Linked DNA regions of Arabidopsis thaliana. The protein of the gene in region 3 interacts with the protein of the main gene of each other region in a pairwise test. Each region holds a gene or a part of one and is shown on either strand. Other genes may lie near its edges.

Region 1 (4,566 bases), on a different chromosome or scaffold from region 3:
AAGACTTTATTTGGCAATTGCAGTCTTACATCAATAAGCACACACGACAAGCTTTGATTTGGCAACATGTTATATTTAGAAGTAATTCATGAATCACTTGCGAAAGTGATATGTACAGGATTGTGACTTTATATATTTCACAATGCTGTCTTTTTCTTTACAGAAGTTAAATTATGATCATTTGTTAGTATTTGAGGGACACAAGTGTGTGTGTATCTGTCCCATAAGTCAACGTGTTTTGGAGCAGTATTTTACGTTTCTTCTTACCTTATCAAAATATTATATCTTAAATAGGAAATAATGCATAGAGACTGCCTTGATATTTTGAAAAAAATATTCATGAACGTGTGGAAGAAATGGTAGTATTTTCAAGTGTATGACATCTTCTCAGACAGATAAAATGAGACTCAAAGTAGAATCTTTCAACCTTTTTTACTTTATTTATAAGAAGTGTATCAAGAATAAGACATAATCTAATATATACTGGATTCTTCATTAAATGTTTTCTTAAACATTGTCAACTAAATTGTAAAATACTTCAAGAATCCGAATGTGTCTCTTCACAGAAATCAATGGAGTGGAACCAGAATCTGTATTTTTCTTCGCCATTTTCAAACAGAATAAGGAGACTTCTTCATTGCCGACACAAATGAAGCAAAAACAAACATATATAAATCCTGAAAAAAACAAAAGAGGAATTGAAAGTTTATCAGAAGAATCATATCACTAGTTTAGACAAGAGATCCATGGTAACAGAAGATGAAAAGGTAATAGAGTGTTTCAAAGTGAAGATCTTGGTCGTTCTTGTGATGTCTAACACAGACATAATATGAAATAAAAACACTGAAGTTACAACAAGCGAAAGAACTAGTAGTAGCCAAGGATGACTTCCCCTTCTTGGTGGGAACATGAACACAGCACCAAGATCCACTGTCTCAGATATGGACAGAGAAATGGTGCATGTCTCCACCTCCATGCATGTCATTAGACTGACCATGAACAAGCATGGCTCGGTTTATCGGAGTTGGGAAACCTGAAAACTGGAATTCAGTGTGTCCAAAGATATCAGCACCGTCGGAAACAGAGGTGATGTCTGAGCCAGAAGTGGTTGAGCTGCGGTCTTTGTTGTTCTGCAGCATATGAGCTTCGAATCTAGACATGTTGGTCTTTCTGTTTACCTGTTGGCCTAACTTGTCCTGTTCTTGTTCTCTAGCAGCAGCCTGTTCGGATTCTTGAAGAAGTTTTTTGGTGTTTAGGAATCTTCCACCAGATCCTCTTGGCCTTTTAAGAGCATGAACATGTCGAGACTCATGAAGATAGGGCTGTTGCAATAAGAAAAAGAAAAGATGAGCAAAGCAATTCTACGTGTATGCGTTTGTTTAAAATATAAACCAAAATTTGGTAACTACCTTACGGGCTCTGATTAGTTTGTTTTGAGCCTCAAGCTTAGCACGTTGCTGTCTCCTCCTCATAATTGCGTGGTATTGCTTCGCATTGACAAAGACTGGATCAGTTTCTGTGAGCTCTGCTGGTAAAGGAACACGACCAGGAATCATACTCACCATTTGAGGATTGCATGTCTGCAAAAGAGATTAAGAGACTTGAGATCTGATGGACAGATAAAACTGAAAGGTAAATCTCCCACTTGGAAACGAAGGGTGTACTTACTGGTGCCTGTGGTAGGTAAGTTGCAGCTAATAAACCACCATAATGTGGATCAGCATAGTGAAATGAGAAATTAGCCTGAACCATGTATAAACATAAGATATCAGTCTACAATCAAAAGCTTTGCTATGATTACTGTATTCATAGAGTTACAAATACCTGTGCAGGAGCAAAGTGAATATTCGGAAATCCAGTCATCGAGCCTTGTTTAGGATTACTTGCAAACCCCTTCCGTTGAGTTATTTCAGATCCTAGAGAAACAACTGAGAAAGTAAGAAAGAGGATAACATTCTTTATGGCAAAAGGATGATTCTTTTGTCAATGACACAAGAAGTAAAACATATATATACCAACAATCTAACCTGATTTAGCCGAAAAGGAGATTTGTCTGGAAGGATTATCATCACCACTACTAGCAACTTCAGTATAAGATTGACCAGTGGACTGTGTTGAAGATGAATCTTGGTCCTGAAAACTGATTTGCTTTGTAGTTTGTATATGCCCAGGTCTTGAATCAACCTTCAAGCTTAGTGATTCAGCAGAACCGCGACGATTAGCAACGGAATCAGTTGGAACCACTCCCCAAGAGATGCTAGTATTAAGGTATGGCAAAGTGGAATGAGTAGCTGAATCTTTCTTATTCAACATCTGATGCATCATAACGTCTTCCTTAACAAGCTAATTATTCTCACAACCAACAACCTAAATAACAATCAAAAATGACTCAAAGATTAGATTTTTAAAGCTAATAATCCAAGTGGGTGAAAAAACCCAGAATAGAAAGAAACAGAAGTTGGAAGTTTCTAAATTTGAGTAATTTTTTAATTCTCTAAACGAACTGATTCGATCGTACTATCTTGGGTAACCAAAACACGATTGCAGAGATCGCTACGATTGGCTAAAATTAGTAATTTTCCGACCAAGAAAAATTTCTTGTTCCCGTCATCACTTTTGGGCAAAAAGTCGTTGACTTGAAGATGAATTATTTTAGCAAGAATTTTTCAGAATCAGTAAACATCAATCGCACGCCACAAGACAGATACACCAATAATCGAACAAAGAAAAAAGGAGAAAAATTTGACAGAAATTAAACATCTTTTTTTCGAACAAAGAGACTACAGATGCAGAAAGAAATAGATAAGAGATAGAGAAAGAAACCTCTTTGAGTAATCGATGAAGCGAAGAAGAAAAACAAGGGATAGAGATTTATTTTTGCATGTCTCCTTTTGTCAAACAGAACCAAAGTAAACCAGTTTGTCTCTCAGAGTGAATCAGAGAGTGATCTTCGTATGTAAGATCTTCTTCTTTCTTCCTTGTTTTGGTTCGTCTCCGTCTCTTTTACCTTTCCTGGGAAACCAACATCGCCATGAGAACCACCACTACACCAGCTTCTCCTTCTGGGTTAATTATTGTCTTAAGTGCTCTTAATTATTCATTTTAAATATCTTAATTTATTTGGTCTCACTTTAACCCAAAACACAGAATAAGGCTCTCTGGCTAACCCTACCTTATAGAATCAATTTACCCCCAAATAACGATTAGAGCAGACTCTTTTTTTGAAAATCTTTATTAATACGAAATCGTCCAACTATATTAGATTCCTAAATTCCCTGACACAGTTTTTAAATTTTATAATTTGGAGGAAAAACACAACAAAAATGATTAACAATTAAAAGCCAACAAATAATGTAATTCTGGAAAGGTAAACGTACAATTCAAGATTTTTTTTTCTCTAAAATTAATGATTCCTATCTCTACAAAGCCGTTAAGAACTTTACCTTTATTTGTTTTTGCTCATTTAGCAGTAATGTATTATGAGCCATGTATTATATATACTAGTATAAGGTTTGTTTTATATTAACTTTTCCCCCATCTTTTGTTACGAATATAATAACTACGGTTTGTTTTGGCTGTATGATTTCTTAATTTCCATTATCTCTAATAATGATTCCAAAAAAGTAATTAGCTATCTTGGCCACGTTAGCTTTTGTTTGATTATATTTTTAATTTGTATGAAGCTTTTAAAATGTTATTTAGCTTTTTGTCCAAAGTGTATTGTCGTTTCCAGACTAAAAACATTTCTGAACTCTGAACAGTCCTTAATTTCCCCCTTATGCCTTTACTCGTTAGTCTTTAGCCGCCCCTCCCCATATTGATGTCACACGCTCTCCTAAGCTCGTGATTCACACGCTCTCCTAAGCTCGTGATTCACACGCTCTTACAATTTTATCATGGGAATAAATAACACGAACAGTTTTAATTTACAAGTTATAGACCTGCAACCAGTTTCCTTGAGTATAATAGTTTAATGAAAGTGTAAGCATGTAAAATGAGATGGGAAAAAGGATTGTATAATACTAAAACTTAGGTTGGGTTCTTAATCAAGTACCTAACCTTTTTTGCAATGAAATAAAGCTCTAGTGCAAGTCAAGCATAGGAATCCCTCCTTTATCCTTGGAAGTAACAAGTAACAACCAAAACATAATAATTGTTACTTGATGTTTTCTTAATTAGTTTTTAGCATTCCTTTATTCCCTCTGTTTAATGTTTATGGGCTTTTAAGCCCTTGATTGATCCATAAGAATTAGGACACGTGGGCACTGGATATTGGGTACTCATCAGTCCGTCATCATCCCATATGCACCAAAATCAAAAGTTATTCACCTTTCTTTGGACCAAAATCAAAGGAGATTCAATGTATTAGTAGTTGTTTTGCAATGATATTTAATGTAACATTTCCAGTGAGAACACAACTCCTGTGGGTTTGGCAGCTCCAACTTTTCTTTCTCCATTTCTAGCCTGATGAAATACCAGAATACAATCTGGTAAAGCTTGTTGAGCAAAAAGGGCAGACATCGAGTACAAAGCAGAAAGAAAAAATTGGTTCTCTTAAAAGGAAAA
Region 2 (5,125 bases), on a different chromosome or scaffold from region 3:
GAAAATTGGGTTTTGTGGATCAGGTGAACATGAATCTGGATGGAGGGAAGTTCCCGGAGATGATCCAGAAGTGAAGCATGTTGCTGAGCAGGCTGTCAAGACCATTCAGCAGAGGTCTAACTCCTTGTTCCCTTATGAACTTCTGGAGGTTGTGCATGCTAAAGCTGAGGTATGGCTTTAATTTACTATATACTCTATCTTCGATCTTAATTGCACAAAATGAATTTCAATAGAGAACTTGTCAGATTTTGACAATGTTTTTGCATGAATTTCATCTGAGAAATTGCAAATAAACGAAATCAAGTGTCAGTGAAACCGAATGGTGTTGAAGTTTTAGAAGTAGAAAAGACTTTAAGCAACATATTGGTTCTCCTTGGTATGAGGACTAACGTCTGAGTTGTAATAGTTGGTGATTACAAGATTAATGAGCTTAATATTAAAAACATGGACACAGGTAACCGGCGAGGCTGCAAAATACAACATGCTACTGAAGTTGAAGAGGGGAGAAAAAGAGGAAAAGTTCAAGGTGGAAGTTCACAAGAACCATGAAGGTGCTCTTCATCTCAACCACGCGGAGCAACACCATGACTAGTCCCTCTCCTTTGTTTATGTACTTTTGAGTGTTTACTTACTCTGTAAGATATTTTAACTTCTGATGTAAAACTCTAAAACCTTAAATAACAAATCAGGAGAATAAATTAAGTTTCATAGAGTGCATGCAATCTTTGGTTCATACAATAAATGGAAACAGGAGAAGATTTTGATGACAGAAGAAGCATTTTCTAGACAAACTGCTAAACGCTGCTACTCTATATATCCTATAGTGCTGTTATGACTTAGCCTTCTTCGTCATAATCTTCCTCATCCTCGTCTATCCTCTTACCCAGACTAGCAAGCTGTGCTGGATCCATTTTGCTTATGTCCATCATAGGCCAGCCCGAATACTCCTCAGAGTCTGTTGCTGCAGTTGTGGTTGTGGTTGTGCCTGTGGCTGGTGCCAGTTTGGTCTCGTTTAGGTCGAGGGATTCAGCGTTGAGATCAAAGTCAATGCCTTCTTTGGGACTTTGAAGGTGTTGCTTGGTGTCTTCGTTCGATGCTGCTGTGCCGTCGATGCCTTTCTTCTCATCCTCTTGTGGTGATGACTCTGACGCATGCATCTTGACATTGTCTTCTGGTGGTGGCTGTCCAGAATTGGCGGCTTCTACTTCCATCTCGCGGTTGAGACCCTCTCTTTCGGCTGCTTTTGCAGCTCGTCCACCACGACCTCTTCCTCGCCCTCTTCCTCTACCACCCCTGCCACTGGTCTTAGCACTCCCTATCTCTTGCTGCAGTGATTACCAATATATTCAATGAATCTAAGGAGCTGGGAATAGACACCAAATGAATGATGAAGTATAATATTTCAAGAAGAACACGAGCTCACCGTTTTGCTTTTCTTATATTCCTCGTCACTGTCATTCACTTCATCGCTGATGGGCTTCCTGTTTTGATAAACCATCTCACATCAGCTTGACACGGACTATAAACAAAGAACTAGAACATATGGAACTAAGAGATCAAACATCCAACCTTCTCTTGGAGATGCTGCGATCATCCATGGTAACATCACCATGTCCTTGCCCTTGGGAATGGCCATAGTCAGGCACCTTACTCACAACTTCCCTCAGAAAATCAAACACGTTATATCTTTCCACACAATGTTTTCTGTAAACAACAAAGCACTTTGATAAACATGGATGAGCAAAAATAAGAACTTTATCCCAAATTTGTGGTATAAAATTCTGTAACAGTAAACAACATCCTCTCGGTGTTGGATGCAGTGAAAATAGGCCCTATGAGTTGGAAGCTATTCCGCTTAACAACATCATGTTAACTCTTAAACCACAATATCAATAATTACAACATCTGAAAGCTCTAGAATTTAAAATGCATTCAAGTGAAACCTTTCATGCTCTTTAGATAATGACGATGCTAGCATGCAGAGTTAAAGCAAAAATAAAGGTAAACCAATCTGTTACTTACAGGTGCAATGAGCTCACAGTCTTGGCACCTCTTTCAAGGGTAATTTCATATGTACGATCACAAAGGTCTTGCAAGAACAACTCCAAAGATTTTGCTGTAATAAGAGAACATGAAATTTAGCCAAAGGGTAAAGTTTCCAATAATTCTCTTTTCAAACTGAAGTCAATGATAGCAAGATGACTTACAGACTAAGACAGGCACTGCCAAAGCTATCTTGCCAACATCCTCATCAGCTTGCATAATCTTTTTAATACGAGCCTGAAAAATTGTAATATATGCATCAAATGAAGAAACAGCAACCATCACACAGTGTGTGTGGCAATAATTACAGACTACTAAACGAATTATAAAGCAAATGGTAGAACTGAGAAACACCAAGCACGCTCTGTACAATCACCAATCAGATTATACAAACAAAAATATATTAACAAATTAAATGGAAAGTCAAAATCTGTGAAAAACTAATATTCTAGCCTCAGCTCAAACAAAATAAACCACCATCAACAATAACCAACTTATGAAATCATCTGACGTTTTATTCAATAAAGCTAAACAAAATCTAGCTAGCCAAATTGGAAGCTCTACAAAAAGTTCCAAGCCTATGAAAAAACAATTCGTGTATAACATCCCTGCTTCAATCAACACTATCTAACCAATAGCTGACTGGTTTGTTGATAAAGAACACGTTTCGAGCACTAGTCACCTAAATTCTCGAATTCTCTAATTTACATGAAACATTCCATAGCGGATCTTCATAACACATATTACTATAGCTATATAACAAGCACAACAAAAATTAGGGTGAAATTGACTACTAGGTCATTTGCTAAAACTAATTCGCCAGAAATGAGATACTTAATCTAATTTTCATCGTAGAACACTAATCTAATCCCAAATAGTGTTGGAAATTCGATCTGAAAAACAACAGATCAAAGTAATTTCCGAGAAATTGGACTTCAATTTCAGAAATGATCAATTAGAGACGAAAAACTTACAGCTGGGAACCGAGTATCGAGCTTCTTCCTCATGGTTTTGAAATCCCCAAATCCAGAAATCGTCGAATGAGAAAACGCAAAGCCACCAAAAATAAGAAGGAAAAAAAGGTAAACCCGACCCTTGAGATCAAAAATTGAGGGACGCGAATCTTCTGTACATATACTCCGTTCTAAGATCAGAAAGTAAGTTTCTTCGTCTTCTACTTCATGGATATGCACTATCAGATCCGGCGACGGCGGTTTCCTTGTTACAATCTCCGTGCGATGGAAAAATTAAAATTAAATATATATAATCAAATTAAAGTTTTGGGTCAAAGAAAAAAAATGGGTCGACGACATGGTTATTTAATTAAGTAATGTTAGTTATAAATATACGGCGGAGCACAAAATATAATCGGATTGTTTGAAAAGATCTAACCATACACGTGGCTATGTATTAGTGGATTGTATACGTTTTCTCGTGACAGTATTAATTCTTAGATCTTCATCCACCTTCTCTATTTTTTATTTATTGGATTTTGTTTGAGGATAATGCATCCTTGTAAGTTGTAACACATATGCCTGAACCAAAAAATATGTTTTGGGTTACTTTTTTTTATCACAATTTAAATAAAATAAAGTTAGAATTATTTGTCTTCAAGTTGAATTTAGATACTTATAAACCAAACTGTCGAATTTTAGAAAAAAAAAACAGAAACCACCTTTATTATAAAGTGTGATAAAACAAAGTGGCCTATGTATCCAAAGTTCCAAACAAAATGTTGTGGAATTTATATTTACAACTTTTTTATTTTTTCAGAAGTTATATTTAAAGTTACAAAATTTTGTCAAACCAATATATAGGAAAAAATATCAAGAGTAATTGCGTCATAGCGTTATACGTTGAAAGTTAACTTCATCAGTAATTATGATTTTACATCAGTGAATCATTGTTCGTGAAAAAAACACACAAAAAAAGGTTATGGTTATCTACCTAATTAAGCCCCCAAATAACTGAATAAACTATTTTAGTAAAAAGAAGTACGTAAAAAAGTATTATATTCCATGTCTTCATCAAACCTTTATGGAAATAAAAATAAAAATTCAGAGCCGTAAAATACAGTAATTAGTAAATGTTTTGCGTATACATCTATGATAGGCCTGACGATGTGACAGTACATGCATCTCCATTGTCAACCGTACGATTAAAACTACAAAGATCGACGGTGATTATAACTAGAAACAAAAATGTACCCTATAACAAGAAAAAGAAACCGCTTCTCTTTCTAACACTCGCTCAAAAATTTAGAGAAAGGAAGAAGAAGACAGATCAATGGCTCCGACGATCAAAAGAATCAGAAGTTTCCGTACTCACCAAAAACACTTTGTCGATTTTTTCGGAGACGACTTGATCGTCACCGTTACGCCGACTGCTTCCGTTATCCGCCGCTGGATTCGTAGCGTCCGCTCCTACAACCGTAATCACTCGGTACATCCTCTCGTCGTTGGAATCGGTGTTCAGTGGAGACCGGATAGTTCCGATCCAGATCCACCACCAAAAACTCTCCAGTTGTGCGTCGGTAGTCGCTGTCTCATCATCCAACTAGGTTACAATTACGGTCTCCCAAAAGTCCTCCGCACTTTCCTTGCCGATCCCAAAACGACTTTCGTCGGCGTTTGGAACGGCCAAGACCAGAAAAAACTCGAGAAATGTAGGCATCGAGTGGAGATCGGGAAGCTTCTGGACATAAGGATGTTCGTGAGAGATTCGAGAGGGGCTAGGATGTGTTTTTGTTCGTTTGAACAGATCGTGAAGGAGCGTTTGGGTCGCGTAGGAGTGAGGTTAGATCCGGCGATTTGTATGAGCGATTGGGGCGTTTATAACCTTAACCATTATCAGGTACTTCAGGCGTCGATTGAGTCGTATGTTTGCTTTAAGCTCGCTGTTGAGGAACGTCTCTGGAACTTAAAAGTTGCTGCTAATCTTGTGATTTGAATTTGTTGTTGTTCTTCTCTCTTTATCAATCAACGTCTTCTTCTAATTCATGAAAGTTTTCATGTTATCGTATTTTGTGACTATGAATGTTGACTGGAAAATTAGTACATGTAGACTACGTTTGTAATAAAGG
Region 3 (3,487 bases):
GCTTGACAAAAACAATAATGGAAAGCAGTTTGGTTATTGTAGTCATGGTATTTGTTGATAATTCTTTATTTTTTCCTGATTTTACCTGGCTGATGTTTTGTTTAGTTTTTTGATAGAAACTTAGTTTTGATATTTGAGTATTGCTTGTAAGAAAAAATCTTTGAATATTTGTGGCATAACATGGACTAATGGAAAACCCAAGCTCTTAAAAACCTGGACTCAAATATGAAATTTTCGCATCACAACACTTTAAAAGAAAAACTAATATTACATGCTGTGGTTTCGGGCCTGGAGGAATTACGGGCTTCGGCCCAGAACCTCCTGAATTTCAAAAAAAAAAAAAAAAAAAAAAAAGATCAAAGATCAAAGATCAAAGGTTACGTTTTAGATATGCCCTTGATTACATCTCATGTTCCCTGCATCAAAGTAGAAAAAGTTTTTCAATGACTCTTTTTAGCTTGATGCTATAATTATATTCCCACTACAATTTTTTAGGAAACATTTTACTCTAAAAAAAATGTATGTCTCTCTCATTTGATTTTTCCTCCTAATTCAACCATAAACTTCGATATCCTAGTTTACTTTTGTTACTTTCATCTTTCACGAATAAACACCCTAACCTTCTTTTATTCTTTTTTTTTGAAAAAAGTAACACCCTAACCTTACGAATCATAAATTTAATATTTATTTTGTTACGTTAGTGGGTTGAACCTAGTTTTAAAAAAAAAATTCTGTAAACATTATACTAAAAGTTAAACATATATATATATATATCATTAATTAATAAAAATGAAAATTTGCTTTTATCATTTTACAATTAAGAAAAATGATGGGAAAATTGATGTCCCATCGTAGTCACCATGCCACCACCGTACATCGGAGCTCCTCCACTTCCACTTCCAGCTCCACCGCCTCCTCCTCCACCTTCCTTATCGCCTTGTCTCCCTGCCGTAGTAGTCTTCTCTCCTTCCACCTCCCTATACTTTTGCAGATAAACCTTGAGAGGCTCCACGTAGTCCTCAAACCCTAGCGTAGTCATCGCCCAAAGAAGATCGTCACCGTTGATTGTCTTCCTCTTCTCTCTCTGACACTTGTCAGAAGCCTCACCGGTGATGAAACTTATGAATTCCGATACACACTCTTGAACCGTTTCTTTAGCATCCTTAGAGATTTTTGCGTTCGCAGGAAGTGCTTTCTTCATGATCCTGCTAACGTTAGCGATCGGTAGAAACCTATCTTGCTCACGTGTCGAAGCATTTCCACCGTCTTTGTGTCCTCCTGAATCGTTGTCCGAATCCGCCATCTTTAGATCGAGGAGACAAAAGGTCGAGAAAGAGAGATAGATGTTTTGGGTCCGTTGGATCAGAGAGGATAATAATCGTATCGTGATGACACGTGGGTAGTTATAGGTCGATTGTTTGTCGATAAGATTATTACAAGTGGATGTTATTTGGATAGAAAAGGAAGAGAGAGACTTGATAACCGGTTCTGTTTTTTCGGTTTGCCTTTATTATAAAAGACTCTTGAGTTCTGGTTATATATGTACTTTTGGTTTTTGTCGTTTATATCATGAAATCAAAAAACAAAACCCCTAATTCAGATTTTATTAAATTGATTTGGGCCAAAAGAAGACAAAATTTTGAATTTCCTCTTGCAATGGGCCTGATACGGGCCTAGATCCCTCCTATAAAACCACCGACATTTTTATATATACAATTGTTTCTAGGTTTCTTGTTACATACACTATCTATAAAGAGAGAGAGGTAGTGTCCCTCAAAATCTCTGTGAAATCAAAGAAAGCAGAATGGGAGGACTAAAGAGAAGAATTTCGATTGAGAAGATTCAGAAGAAAGAGTCACGAGCCGTTTGTTTCTCCAAACGTCGTACCGGTCTTTACAGTAAAGCCGCGGAGCTATTATGTCTTCTCTCCTCCGATTCACAGGTTGCGATCTTGACGACTCCTTGTTCTTCCAACTCTCACGTCTCCTTCTACTCCTTCGGCCATTCCTCTGTTGATTCTGTTGTTTCCGCTTTCCTCAAGGATCAGGGTCTTGTTCGTAAAGAGAATCTAGGGTTAGAGTTATGGTGGAAGACGAGAGTCTTGCTAAATCGGAGGATTCGGAGGAGTTGAGAAAAGCGATTGAGTCGATGTCTACGATGTTGAGAGATCTGAAGGAATTGGAATCTGTGAATAATTATCGAAGAGATCATCAAGAGGACGTCAAGATTAACAACGACATCAAGATTAAGAATCTTGTTTCACACGAAACCCTAAATCTTCAGTTAAGTTCTGCAACTTTTGGCGTTCCTGATGATGATCGTCTCAAAGAAGAAACGGAGATGGTTGTATTCGATGATCAGATCTTGGCGATTTTTGAGAGTAACGACAAACCTACAGGAAACTTGGAAGATCAAGAGATAGATCTTGATCAATTCCTAGATTTTGATCAACTCATAGATTTCGAGGGTTTGATCGATGGCGATTACTAGAGCACTCAAGAGTATCCAGAGCCTGCTGAGACTCGTCTTTTGATGAATTCGAAGATGGAAGATGTCTCGATGGTGATGAAAAATCCAAATCTGTGGTCTGATTCACAGAGGTTTAGATGAAAGATGATCCTTTTCAATGAGTTACCACACCATTGATGCAGTTTGAAGATAGCTCAGCAACTAATTTTCTTATATGCTTTTGTATGTATTAGTATTATATCAATATGTAACTCTGTCGGTATTGACCAATTGAAATTAATAGAATGTAATTGGTTCTGTCAACTTTGTTTACAAATATTTCTTGTCGATCCAGTTTAACACGAAACAACCCCAACGAATCTGAGGTTAACCTAAAAGCAAAAAAGTATCTAAAGACTTTTAACTTTTGGTGCCTTGTTTGGGTTACATGTATGGCTCATCTGACCCTGTAAGAGAGATGGGACCAAATGAACCATTGCCTTCCAAAGTTGCAAGAACATAATAGTCGTTTCTTCTCTTGTGTGGTCTCTCTTTAAACCGCACAGCCAACACCTGAAACCGCACAACAACTCCAACAGCAATCTTTGAGAGGTCGTCTTTCTGAAAATGCGGTTTCTCGTCCTCCGACAATGGTGAGTGGACATAATGATAATGTGGCATTTTCAAGAGTGAGAGGTATGCGTATCTGAGTGGTCCTGACCTGATAAAAGCTCCGTTCCACAACACTTTTTTTACAGTCCCTTGCAAGATATCTCCTCTTGCAGGCAAGAATGTGCGGCATGTGAAGGACACCGGGAATGTGAGGATTTTTGCTTGATGATTGTTTTCGTTGTCGATGTTGTTGTTCTTGTTGTTACCGATGCTTTTTAGAGCGGTGATGCCGAGATAGAATCCGTGTTCCCTGCACGCTTTCTCGTGTATTAGATCTTGGAGTAGTCTGCATAGAATCGGTTGGTGCGGCGATTGGCCATTCAAGTGTTTGGCACATATAGCCACGTCTCGAGCCATTTCTACTTCT
Region 4 (5,597 bases), on a different chromosome or scaffold from region 3:
CAACATATCCTAAATCAAACAGAACCCTAATCTAATATACTCAAACCAGATTAGTAAACCCTAGCTAAGATCAAAGACAAGGGAAAGAGGGAAAACACAGACCTCAGAACTTATAATGGGTAGAAACATTTAAATGGGTATAAATCAGTTGAAGCAAAAGAAGATATGTAGCTAAAAAGGATAAATTAAAGAGAAAAGTCATCATACGCTGTGAGGAAAAACAAATGCAGTGATAGAGAGAGAAGAAGAGAGGAAGAAGACGAGTCAAAGTCTTCCTCTTTCTCTCTCTTCTTCAAATGACAAAACACACAAATTGACTCTCTTCTTCTTCTTCTTCTTCTTGCTTGCGGGGATTCAAAGAATGACAACTCTTAATTTTTTATGTGTTTCCATATTCTCTTTCATATGCTCTTCGTGTTTTTTGTTGATATAAATAATCGATCTGCCCGTTGTAGATTTAACAACTTCTTTTTTTTCACTGTCCTTTTCAAATCTGGTTTATATGCAAACTTGAAACTTCCATGAGCAAACTATGCAACTTATTGCAAGCTGTTTTTTTTTTCTTTGCAAAACATAATGTTTAATAGGTTTCTTCTACTTTCTAATCACTCTCCTCCGGTCAAATAATGTTTAAGTTGGCGAAAACAGAGAATTTGACTACAAATCTGAAGCATTGTTATAGCCTTGTTAACACTTTGTGGTCAGAAAGGCAAACGATTAAGCAAACGTATTTTTCAATTTTGCAAAAGAGAAAAAAAAGGTCAAAGAATAAAAACAAGACCTACTTGCTATTCCTTAGTCTCTTGTCTCCAAAATCTAACACCTAACATAACTCGCTCTTTGTACATTCATCATAACTGTTAAACCCACACAATATGAGACTCTGACAAGAACAACTAGCAAACACAAAAACGAAAAAGCCAAGAATGATTTGCCGGTTTGAGGCAATGATTATATTAGCCAAAGTGTGTGTCTCTCTCTCCTCTCAGAGCTTTGGCTTTTTTTATTATGGTGCACCAGAAGAATTCAGGGTCTCATTAGAGTCTGTCTCAACTTGTTCAGAGCCTGATGAGTTGGTTGCTGAACCCCTTTCTCTGTCTCTCCCTCCTGCATCCTCTCCCGCTTCTACCTCACTTTTCTTCGCAAACCGGCCTCCACTCGCTCGTGCCCTTCTCATTGCATGCTTGTGTCTTGACTCGTGAAGATATGGCTGTCGCATTTCAAACATAGTCAATACAAGTTTACCGAGCGACAAACCAAACTTGCAAATTCTTAATGCTCATTATCAATCCTTCATATAGCATGGGTCCACTTCTATTATGGACTCTACACCATCCTTAGATTACCAGGACACCAATCAAGTACAATTTTCATAAATGAGAAAAAAATACCTTTCTGTCCCGGATGACTTTCCTCTCTAGCTCTGCCTTGGCACGTGCTTTTCTTCGCCTTAGAATTCCCTCGTACTGCTTTGCATTCACATAAACGGGCTCTTGTGCCATGTCAAGTGGCAGAGCTGTTCTTTCACGAGGCATTCCAAGATATGGACGAAAACCCTGTTTAAACCAATGAACAAAATAAATGCAACAAATAGACTCAGATCATCGAAAACTTTACATATAACTTATAAGACCCCAAGAATCCCCATTAGTTGTTCTCGATAATTTCAGATATAACTTTGGATTCTCAGTTATTTCAGAAATGAACTTTAAAAGCATCTCACTGACTATTGCTGAACCCAGACACATTCCAACAGTAAATAAAATCACCACAAACGGGTACTTAGTGGCAAAAGCGCACATACATCAAATAAACACTGCACCATATGGAACTATTGTAGAGATTGAAAGAGGTTTCGACAAGATACCAATTGCTGATGACCATATGCTCCCATCAATCCCCCATAATATGGATCCTGATATGGGTTTGGGACACAAGCCTGTAAGGAAGTTTTGAGTTTATCATACATATGAAAAGGGCGTTATACAAGATAAATCCTTTTGAGGGACCAATAAGAAGTCAATTTAACAGCTCAAGAACTCATAAAGCATATATATATATATATTAAGGAATGAGAGGAAACCACATACGATATAGTGTCCAACAAGCTCTGGTGGTTGTACAAGTGGCTGATCATGCATGTTACGGATAGAGAGCGCTGGGTCATTTCCTTCCATTCCGTGATTATCTACTGAAGTTGAAGAAAGACACCATTACAAACAAAATAAAGAAATCACAATGCACATATCAACGAGACAGAATCTCCTTGGCATGGATAGAACTATGAAACCCTACAATTACAATGCAAGTATATTTCAAGGACCAGATTCATGAACTTGACACGCCCTATAGTGCCGAATCACACAAATGCCCATTTAATTTCCCTGCCTGCTTGAGGAACAACTCTTCACCAAGTTGCAACATTCCGAACGTGGAACAACATCACTTTCGACAGTGATCACTAGGTCATCCAGTAAAACAGTACTGCAGAAATGATGAATATGAACAATACACCAAGTAGGCCTAAAGACCAAGAACTCAAACCTGAACGAGAGGAAGTTGCAGCTTGTGAATCCTTCCAAGTGCCATCGTTTTCACCATTCAACGCACCGTCTTCAGATGCTGAATGAACATCGTTTGACTCGGAACCATTGGGGCAATCCAAAGAAGAGGAATTTGATGGAATTCCAGAAGGTCTCGCTTGAGGTACAACACCAAAGGAGTTGTTTTTCCACCAGGGCTCTGCATACATCATCGGCTGCTGAACAGCATGGTGATTATTGACTTCCTCTTCGTTTTCTCTTCCCGGTTTTGATTGCATCTCTACATAATCAAGTCAACACATGTTCAGTAACCAATTCAAAATCCAATCAAAAAAAAAAATTCATCACTAAAACCGTGAAAAAGATACAGACTCCAACTACAAAAAAAAGAGAGCAATTTTAGGGCTATGAAGCAATGCAGAAGCATGCAAAAATATGAGAAAGCACCAAAATCTCACATGTCTCGAATTTACACTCTAAACCTACATAAGCTCGTAATATTCAAGAGATTCTTTAGCCACCTGCATCAATTTTTTCAATCCCTTCACGAATTCTAGCAAACAAAATTTCAAAAACAGAAAAAATTGAACATACCAGTGGAAATTCACAGCAGAGCACTCTTTTGCAATCGCCTTCGAAGAAGATTAACTTCTTTCAGAAATCAAAAAACCCTGAGGTGAATTTAATCGATCACGATTTTGCAGAGTTTAAAGAGAAGAAAAAATTGACCTTGAAAAAAAATCAGAATCGAACAGAACCAGAGAAGAAGTTGGTGAAGGAGAATCGATTCAGAAAACCCGACAGCCGGCAGGAATGGAGAATTTCGTAGAAGAAAAGTGAAATTGGGCGAGAAGAAAACCCTAGATTTTGGGGATTTTTCTTTTTTGCCAGAATTGTGGTTTTTGATATTAAGTAATTTATTGAAAAATCGAAATAGAGTAAGTTATATGATGATGATGAATTTACACAAAAGACCGAGATTTGATAAGATCACTTACGAAAGTGAAAAATCTTTTTGCCACGTGGCGCTCTATGAAAGATGCCAGCGCGCGCAGATCTGGGATCTTCTCCGGCTGACGTTATCATAGGTTCATTTTTAATTTGTTTTGTTTTTTCTTATATACTAGAAAGAAATTAAATTTCTTTTAAAAAACAGGAGAAATTTGGGTCCAAGTGACACGCAAGTGATGGGCTGGGACGAGGGACACCTGTAAAATGTGGGGACCCTATTGGCAAAAACAATTAAAAGATTTTTTTTTGTTAAAGAAATAAGTTAATTAGTTCAATATTTGTAATTTCTTTCTTTCACAAAATAATATAAAGTGTTTTCCCTTCATGAAAAAAATATAGTTGTTTTAAGAAAATAATAATAATAATACAACTGAAAAAAATATTTTCCATAAATAATTGTAGGTAAAAAAAAAAACTATGAAAAGTTTATTAAAATCATATTAAATGGTTACAAAAGGTAAAATACGTTCGAAGTTTAGTAATTTGGTGTTATTACGGAGATTAAAGGATCCATAACACATAACATTTATATGAGTTTTGGCCAGATCGTCTTTGTGAACAATAATTGATTTATTTGTTGGAATACTAAACCGAATTGAGAAATTTCGCTGTGCATTTCTCACTATAACACTTGATGTTGATATCATCATTGATTATGTATTGTTTCAGGGGAACAGATGGTAATTATATTTTCTCTAGTGAAGTGTTTGTTGTGAGAGCGAAATTAATTAATCGGTCATGGACAAGGGGATACACAAATATGATATGGAAAATGACAAAGCATAATATATAGCATATGACTCAGACACTCAGACACTCAGACACTCAACCACCGAACGTTAGCCATTAAAAAAAGGCGAAAATGATGAATCATACGCAATATTTATATTTAGAAAGAAGGTGGGGAGAAAATAGAGACACTAACTCTTGTTATGCTTTTAAAATATCTTGTTATTTTGAATACTAACATATATTAAGTGGAAACCATTTGATTATATATGTGTAATGGTCTACATTTGTGTTTGAAGTGTTATGGTGAACAAAGTTTTGGCCGCCTAGATAAAAGATACCGTTTATCATAGCGGCTAAAGCTTCCCGTGAGCCGTGAGCGTGCGTTTGACAATCGTGATTCGTGAGTTTAAGGATCGACAGTCGTCGGTATTCAGCTTTTTGCTTATTCAATTTTTTATTTTTTCAGTAAGTGATGATATCAATGAATATCAAAGGTCTACACAAACAAACAAAAATATCGTTTATAGTAGAATTGTTTTTAAGATGCTATGGTTTACTTATTTTGTATACCTAGTTATAATCATCTATAGATATGCCATCTTTAGTATATATCAATCATATTGTTGATCAAAATAACCGCTAAAACGTTTGGTTTTGTTCTAGAGATTATCTATAATTTAAACATAAAATCATAACTAAAAACATTAAGCAAACACTTTGAAGTCATTAAAAATATAATTAACATGCAGTTCATACCAACCAAGTTTCGAACTAGTAAATACTGACATGCAATCCGTTTAACTTTCTTGATTACTATCGCGGTTTTGTGGGAAACAACAAACGTTAACCCGCACATCCATGTGGTACTGACATGCAATCCGTTTAGATTCTATATTACATACTACAACAAATCATACATTGATACACGCATACTGACTTTTTTTTTCCCCAACCTTAACTTTTCATATACATATGATAATTATCCAACATATGTCGATTCATAGTCTTGTCACATGCATCATATAAGTACGTCATTTAATTCATGCAGTGATAAACACCCACAAAACCAAGCTTTTTAAAATACGAATCGTAAAATAGGCATCACACACACACACACACATATATATACATCAAATCAAAGAGAATTCACGATATATAAACACCAAACCTAAGTCCTAACATACAAGAAATAATACTATCTACTTCACTTCAACGTACGACTCCAAATAAAATAACAATCGTACGTGATTGAAGACTGGTGTCAATCCGATCATTGGTGTGTATGAGGATTCTTTTGACATACAAAAGAAT

Evidence for each region.
Region 1: the proteins of NF-YB3 (region 3) and NF-YA3 interact in a two-hybrid assay, tested with the Arabidopsis thaliana proteins (2 studies listed by BioGRID).
Region 2: the proteins of NF-YB3 (region 3) and NF-YC11 interact in a two-hybrid assay, tested with the Arabidopsis thaliana proteins (2 studies listed by BioGRID).
Region 4: the proteins of NF-YB3 (region 3) and NF-YA1 interact in a two-hybrid assay, tested with the Arabidopsis thaliana proteins (one study listed by BioGRID).

The regions. Positions count from the first base shown.
Region 1 is NC_003070.9:27,404,764-27,409,329, forward strand, and holds NF-YA3 (nuclear factor Y, subunit A3), read right to left. Parts: upstream 2,778-4,566; 5' UTR 2,519-2,777; intron 2,368-2,518; 5' UTR 2,326-2,367; coding exon 2,028-2,325; intron 1,917-2,027; coding exon 1,825-1,916; intron 1,744-1,824; coding exon 1,669-1,743; intron 1,581-1,668; coding exon 1,407-1,580; intron 1,323-1,406; coding exon 936-1,322; 3' UTR 698-935; downstream 1-697. UniProt on the Arabidopsis thaliana protein: Stimulates the transcription of various genes by recognizing and binding to a CCAAT motif in promoters.
Region 2 is NC_003074.8:3,955,990-3,961,114, reverse strand, and holds NF-YC11 (nuclear factor Y, subunit C11), read right to left. Parts: upstream 3,353-5,125; 5' UTR 3,051-3,352; coding exon 3,018-3,050; intron 2,281-3,017; coding exon 2,208-2,280; intron 2,117-2,207; coding exon 2,023-2,116; intron 1,705-2,022; coding exon 1,570-1,704; intron 1,482-1,569; coding exon 1,424-1,481; intron 1,326-1,423; coding exon 837-1,325; 3' UTR 643-836; downstream 1-642. Other genes in the region: CYSB (cystatin B), read left to right, coding at 24-169, 455-592; AT3G12470 (Polynucleotidyl transferase, ribonuclease H-like superfamily protein), read left to right, coding at 4,330-4,992.
Region 3 is NC_003075.7:8,342,479-8,345,965, reverse strand, and holds NF-YB3 (nuclear factor Y, subunit B3), read right to left. Parts: upstream 1,618-3,487; 5' UTR 1,304-1,617; coding exon 818-1,303; 3' UTR 642-817; downstream 1-641. Other genes in the region: AT4G14530 (agamous-like MADS-box protein), read left to right, coding at 2,083-2,490; AT4G14520 (DNA-directed RNA polymerase II-like protein), read right to left, coding at 2,893-3,487. UniProt on the Arabidopsis thaliana protein: Component of the NF-Y/HAP transcription factor complex. The NF-Y complex stimulates the transcription of various genes by recognizing and binding to a CCAAT motif in promoters.
Region 4 is NC_003076.8:4,050,141-4,055,737, forward strand, and holds NF-YA1 (nuclear factor Y, subunit A1), read right to left. Parts: upstream 3,530-5,597; 5' UTR 3,138-3,529; intron 2,824-3,137; 5' UTR 2,822-2,823; coding exon 2,545-2,821; intron 2,192-2,544; coding exon 2,091-2,191; intron 1,940-2,090; coding exon 1,868-1,939; intron 1,557-1,867; coding exon 1,392-1,556; intron 1,211-1,391; coding exon 1,007-1,210; 3' UTR 640-1,006; downstream 1-639. UniProt on the Arabidopsis thaliana protein: Stimulates the transcription of various genes by recognizing and binding to a CCAAT motif in promoters.